Drosophila melanogaster: one gene and its partner. The protein of the gene in region 1 interacts with the protein of each later gene in a pairwise test. Each region holds a gene or a part of one and is shown in the gene's direction. Other genes may lie near its edges. The genes, in order: LysX and CG9014.

Region 1 (3,207 bases):
TGTATTGGGTGCCAGCAGATCTGTGCTGGCTCCAATGGTCACAGGTGCACTATTGCCACCCAATCCACTGGTGTCCATGCCCAGGAAGCCACCAATCGCATCCTGGTGGTTCAACGGATGATGTCGGTGCGAATTAAACGAGTCGTTGGTGTCCAGCGAGCCGTCCGAGGACAGAGTGACTTTCAGCCCGTCGCCCAGCTCATCGTCCTCCACTTGACGCATCTTGGGCTCGTGATCCACAAGACCAATGCCATCCTCCTGATCCGAACCGTCGCCATCGCTCTTCGAGGAGTGCGAGTCCTCCAGGTCATCGTTGGGAATTAAGCTGTGAAAAGGGCTTTACTGATGAAACTGAACTCATGCCATCGCACAGAAATCACAGCGAGTTTGGAATAATTCATAAGAATGTCCAAAGGCATGCACACAATTCGTTGCATACTTTTAAACAGTTCCATCAGTGACTTTTGTGATTTCTGTTGCGAACAGTTCCCTTCAAGGATACCCAACCAGTTTCAAGGGGTGCTCTTCAGGACACGTGCACACGTCTTGGCTACAGCAAGCTTCGCCAGATTGCTTCTTACCACAGCCTTTCACCTTTCAACTTACGAGTAAAATGCATGTGGATTATTCTTCTTGCTGCCTGCTCCTGATCCGAATCCAGCAATCGTATGTGGCTCAAATATGGGCCTGTGGAACTCCTCGAATTCGCTGTCGGCCATGTCGTTTGGGGACCAGGGTCCGACCAGCTGCCACGCCCTCCACTACAGGCTAGCTGGGGCTTTTAGTTAGTCCGTGTGAACTGCTTTTGGTTAGATTTTCACTGGAGTCCTGCTCGCGCTACAGTTTTTTGCCAACGGAGTCACTTTTTTCACTTCACATGCGAAAATCGATAATTTCCTTGACGTTGCTGGCGTGCCCCCGTCTGAATTCCAGATGTGAGTGGTGCCAAATCAGAAATAGTGGAGGCCCAAGCCAGGGAAATTCGGGACTTTCAGCTGTCATCCGCAAGCTCTCTCTTTATTTCTCTCTCTCTCTCTCGCTGGTAAGCCAAACTTGTTTTTGTTTACCGCTGGCAGGGCAAAGGTTGGGGGGTCAGCGGCATTCACTCTGTCCTGGGGGTTGACAGGAAGCGCGCCTGCGCAGTGAGTCACTTCCGCTCCCCGTTTCCAATGGTGGTGACTTGCGAATTGCAATGCTGTTGCGCTTTGGCACGAACAGCCAGGGGCGGATCTAGAAAATGGGGATTTCCCCCGGCTGGGGATTTCTTATCGGGCATATATTTTTATAGTAAATGTGTACGAACGAATCAGTCTTCATTTCACAAAATGCAATTTCGAAAATTATTTAATTAATTTTAAAAGTACAAAAACTATCTATCAATTAATTTAGAAAATTATAAAATTATGAATAAGGTTGGTCATTATCTATCTAAAACAGCAATTATATTATATTATATTATAATATATTATATTATAATATATTATATTATAATATATTATATTATATTATATTATTTTATATTATAAGATACGATAGGAGATGTAATCGCCACCCCAACTGATAAATGTAAATGGGGAAATGGAAATCGTCAGTCTGCCATAACTTACCTACAAGATATGCATTTTTCTGTTGCCTAGTCAAATCAGACAATCTAAAGGTACCTATAATTTTCCTAAGAAATTTTCTTACCACTAACTCAGGTGATCCGGTCCAATGTTCAAAGTTCTCACACAACGGTTGCCACACGAGCTGCAACGACATGCTCAAAGACGACATCATCCAGTCTGTGAGGTGTGCCCAGAAAGCCCAGATTTAGTTGAATACCCTCAATAATAAGAACCGCTGGTTTCTTCTTTGTATAGAATATAGTTCTTATCTTTAATCAGATTTTTTTTATTTCCCCGGGTATAAAAGAATGAACAGTCTTTAGCCACGCAGTACTTCATCGACATCCAACCAATTCGCCATGAGAGCCCTCCTAGGAATCTGTGTCCTGGCACTAGTCACTCCAGCTGTCCTGGGTCGCACCATGGATCGCTGCTCACTGGCGCGCGAGATGGCCAATATGGGTGTTTCTCGTGACCAGTTGTCCAAGTGGGCGTGCATTGCAGAGCACGAGAGCTCCTACCGCACCGGAGTGGTGGGGCCTCCCAACACCGATGGATCCAACGACTATGGCATTTTCCAGATCAACGACATGTACTGGTGCCAGCCGTCCAGTGGAAAGTTCTCCCACAATGGCTGCGATGTGAGTTGCAACGCTCTCTTGACCGATGACATCAAAAGTTCCGTAAGATGTGCCCTAAAGGTCCTGGGTCAACAGGGCTGGTCAGCCTGGTCCACCTGGCACTACTGCAGTGGATACCTGCCCCCGATCGATGATTGCTTTGTTTAATTCAAGTCTCTTAACCATGGACATTTCAAAATGTAATTGTTTTGCAATCTAATAAACACTTTTTATACGTTTATACTTTTTGATACGTTGATTCACGATATATACATAAATAAAAGTAAATATCTGGTACGACATTTGTAATTAAACAAAGAAATGTGCGGACAAATAAATCAAAGATAAGCGACAGCGAACAAAATTAGTCATTGCAATTTTTCAACGAATTCATAATATATAGAAAGGTAATTACTATGTACTGTATACTATATATACTATACTATATACTATAAATATATAAAAAAAAACAAATAGTTCAGAAACACTCTAAAATCTTAAAAAGTACGTTCTTAAAGCAGACACATGTAAATGTTGTTTCTTAAGTGTTGATCAAATTACCCTTTCCAATTCCCGAATTAAAACCGAGTCACAGTTTAGACCCCCATTCAAATTAGATGTCTAAGTTAATTATTCCGAAATCAAGAGCTGCCATTCATCGTGACCTCGACTCCGTTCCGGGCTTCATCTCCGTCTGGCTGCCTTCACATCGGCGGAGTGGGGGACATCCTGCATCCCTTGGGGCAACCATAAATCCTTTAGCTCGTGGGCAAATAGAAAGTGGATGGCTCCTGGGAGCCAGTCGTTTGTCGGTCAATCAGTTAGCCAGCACCATTAAGTTAATCGCCTCAGCTGATGAGTTGGGGTGAAGCGCTGCCCACGCATGTGTTTAGTGGGCCTTTCGCATATTTTAATAGTCAAGTGGCAGTGACTCTGGCTCCCAGCCTGACCACCCGGCCCACCCAACGCTTTTCCCATCT
Region 2 (3,939 bases), on another chromosome or scaffold:
ACAATTTTGGAACTTAAGGCGAAGCGGGAAACATGTGAGCAGAATGCTACTTCGAGTCCGTCATTAATGATTATCTATCTGCAGAGTAGAGGGAATGTGGCATCAGGATGCTAAGGACTTGGGGACAATGAGGCACGTACTGATGTTGCAATGAAATGACAACGGCGCAAGAACAGCAAATATAAATGCAAATAAACATTGTGTGGCAAGCATTTGTGGCTCGTTACATGCTAACACAGAGCCACTCACGTAATGACTGTTTACACGTTGCTAACCTTATTAGTTGGGTTTCGTACATAAATACACTCGGAAAAACCAAACATGATCTTCTTGCACTTAAAAAAAACAGCACTCAAATGTACATATATATTTTATTAACAAAAAAAAAGGCACTTCTATAATATATAAAACATCATAAGCTATTATCCAAATCTTTCATCAGAGTGTGTGCATCCTCTAGGAGCCTTCGAATCATCAATGCTGATTTTCACAAATGCGGTCAGATCAGTTGGAAAAACATTTTTGTGGCGAGCTGTGTATATGCTTACGTACAAACTTATTAAATTTTCCTGCTTGAGTGGTTCGTTTTGTGTTTGCTGGATGATGGGTTTTATCGGAGCCAAGTCAAATGAAAATTGTTGATTATTTTCTAATGCGCTCCATCAGCTCAGAAATGTGAAATATTGCTATTGAACGTCGCAAAGCCAATGGATTGATAAAACGAACACCACACCCCACACGGACTTAATTATTTTGCACAAAATGCGATTTATTAAAGAATATTTCACACCAGCCGGAGTGGGGAATCGCATATCAATTGTGATTTATTCAACTCATCAATTCAAGCATTTCGATTACTGTTTTTCAAGATAAAAACGAAATGAAAGAATGAGTCTTGAATATTATGGCAAACTGAAAAGGCTTGAGCAGGAATTTAAAGTAAACTAAAATGTCAGACTGACAGTTGCATTCGGAGATAAGCATTTGGTAGCACTAGACTGAAATTGCAATCCAACGAAAAGGATTCGATGCAGTAAAGTTGTCACAAACAAAATGCACAAAAAGGCACACAAAAGCAAATGTCATTCTTAGGCAAAACATGAAATTTAATATCCAAGCGAATGACGCTTCCAAGTGAAATTAAAAACCGAATTTCCAGTCACACAATGCCCATTCTATTATACACACGTATGTATATACATTCGAGTTTGCATAGAGCAGTTGATATAGTGTAAATATTTTGACATGGCAATATGTTGTCACAATCATGCCTGTGTGTCGTCTGATGAGTGTTTGTTCGAAATTCGGCCATTGTGGAGCTGAAGATGGAAAGTTTATTTGTTTGCCCATGTCCCAGCATTTGCTGTTAATTTGTTAAAATTTCACTTTATAAATAAAATTCAACTCCTCGCTTCGCTTCGCATCGCTTCTCTGTGCAGGCTAAGTTAAAACGTGGTCGCCGAAGGTTGGCTGGACGTTTGGCATTATTCCGGGTTGTCGTACCATAAGTTTTCCAATTTGCATAACTTCCGCAGCAGTTGGGACTATAAATATGCAAAGGGTTTTACGACCGCACTATATGCAAGTGCCTCAAGAAAACGTTTTCTCAGACCCATTCGCCCCCACCCCACTTGCTCTTGGCCCACTTGGATGGATGACTCCCAGTGTTCTGTTGGTTGTTTGGCTGGTTTCAGTTGCGCTTGAATTGAAATTGAAGTGTCCTAAATGGTAGAAGGCTCAATGAGAGCTGTTTGCATAACAGATGATCGAAAGGCCTAGTATTTCTTAGCTTAAGAAAAGGATTTTTATTTACAAAAATAAACTATATATACTATTTATATAACTATGCATAACTATACACATAGTTGGCTTTTAATCAGATGCCAGCTCGGACACAACTCAGCGCCGACGTAAAAACTAACTTTTTGATCGAAATATTGTAAAAATCGAGTTTCGGATATAGGTATAAGTACATATCGAACTCAGTGGTAAGTGGATGAGAGTGGCTCCATGCCAAAAAAAAATAACATCTCAGATTCTCCAGCGACATAAACTTCGGTATAGAAATCAAACCATTTCGTCATGGGCTTTGATCTAAACTGCATTGTGGGCCACGTTGACGAGGAGCTCATCTGTCCAATTTGCACAGATGTCCTGGAGGAGCCGGTCCAGTCATCGGAATGCGAGCACGCCTTCTGTCGCGCCTGCATCGACAAGTGGATGATCCAGAAACAGATTTGCCCGGTGGACCGCTCCGGGCTACTGACCTCACATCTGGTGCCCGTTTCGCGCCTAATGCGCAACATGCTATCCCGCCTAAAGATCAAGTGCACCTTCTCGCAAAGCGGTTGTGCCCAAATGCTGGCCCTCGAGGAGTTCCGGACCCATGTCGCCGCCTGCGAGCATAATCCCAAGGTGGTTGTCGAGTGCAGCAAGGGGTGCGGAATGAAGGTGAACATTCTGGGAATAACTTGAACTGCTTAAGATAGCTATAATATTCCCGCTAAAGGTACCCAAGGACGAGATGTCGCGCCACAACTGTGTGTTCGAACTGCGCGAGCTGGTGGAGAAACTGGCGAAGGAGGTTTCCGATCTGAAGCAGAAGCAATCCGATATGGAGGAGCAGAGCTCCAGCCAGCGCCGAGAGATGGAGCTGTTCCAGTACTATATCGCAGCACTGCGATCGACCAATCCCATGCTGCGCAACATTGGCGAACAACTGGACCGCTTCTCACTGATGCAGTGGGGCCATGGACTCCCTCTGGCCAACATCCATACGTGGGGCAGTCTGATCTCCACGCCGGACAATCCCATGCACCTGATGGTGCGCGACGTTTTGCGTGAAAGCGGCTGTCCGATGCATATGCTCAATATGCTGGTTGAACGTTGCCACGAGGATCGCTGGCCCGAAGGTCTGATGACGTTGGACGATCGCCGCGAGAACCAACATCTCATGAGTCGGTATGTCACCCGATTGGTGCCCGGTCTGGTCATTGGCAAACCGTGCGTGGTTGTTCTGGGCGGCGAAAACACCCACATGCCGGAGAATCTGCGCCCCATCCTCGGACTGGTCATGATCTTCGTCGACGGTGTGAATGAGGTAATATTTGGCGAAGAGATTATTTAAGCCAATGATGGGTCACCACATCCTGCTTGTATCCTCCACATCTAAATTCATTTTGGTAACACAACACAAAAGCGCAACTGGCTGCCCGTTTTCCACGTCCTTTGTTTTGGAATGATGGTCATGTTGCTTCACTGTCTTAAATTACACGATCGTACTTCAAAAGTCGTCAAAATGAAAAATATAAATATGTTTTATCAATTCGAGTTACGTAAATAGAAAACAAACAAATGGTCGTGTTATTTTTTAATGTCGGACCTTATGAATAATCTGAGGGCTCCCAATACTATCGAAGAGTTTTTATGAAACGTATGTAATTTTGAAATTTTTAAGGTTTTGTTAAACTTCCCTCATCGATTGGTTCAGTGCAGCAACACTCACAGTTTAAAGTTGTCGTTGTAGCTGACAGATATTCTTCTCGGCAATTACGCGGCAATTATAGAAGCTCAGTGAACACTCGGGCGTATGCGTAATGTTGGAGCGAAATTAAATAAACGCATAAGCTGGGATTGAGGTTGCTCCTTCTGTGGGTGGGCGGTTGGTTGGGCTTGCGGTGGGTGCATCAAGTAAAACTTATAATGGAAATGGTAAAAGTTTGGCTGTGCTCGGTTCGCGGCAGTTGGCGACACCATTTGGAAAAGTTTTACAAATTGTACAAAATTTAATTTCCCAGCTGAGATAAATTTTCGGGACCATTACGATTTTAGCCTGCAATTGAAAACGAGATCTCTGATCAAATGAAAATTAATGGACTGCAAGCAGCTTACTTCGATGCGATGAGCTCACATTTGGGCAAATATTGTCCATTGAATGAA

The links.
Region 2: the proteins of LysX (region 1) and CG9014 interact in a two-hybrid assay, tested with the Drosophila melanogaster proteins (one large-scale study listed by BioGRID).

What each region holds. Positions count from the first base shown.
Region 1 is NT_037436.4:1,194,055-1,197,261, reverse strand, and holds LysX (lysozyme X), read left to right. Parts: upstream 1-1,959; 5' UTR 1,960-1,966; coding exon 1,967-2,395; 3' UTR 2,396-2,523; downstream 2,524-3,207. Other genes in the region: Aplip1 (APPL-interacting protein 1), read right to left, coding at 1-325, 607-719. UniProt on the Drosophila melanogaster protein: Unlikely to play an active role in the humoral immune defense. May have a function in the digestion of bacteria in the food. May be involved in the clearance of bacteria from the larval gut before metamorphosis.
Region 2 is NT_033779.5:13,721,581-13,725,519, reverse strand, and holds CG9014 (uncharacterized protein), read left to right. Parts: upstream 1-1,877; 5' UTR 1,878-1,988; intron 1,989-2,035; exon of another isoform or gene 2,036-2,044; 5' UTR 2,045-2,082; coding exon 2,083-2,451; intron 2,452-2,509; coding exon 2,510-3,127; 3' UTR 3,128-3,359; downstream 3,360-3,939.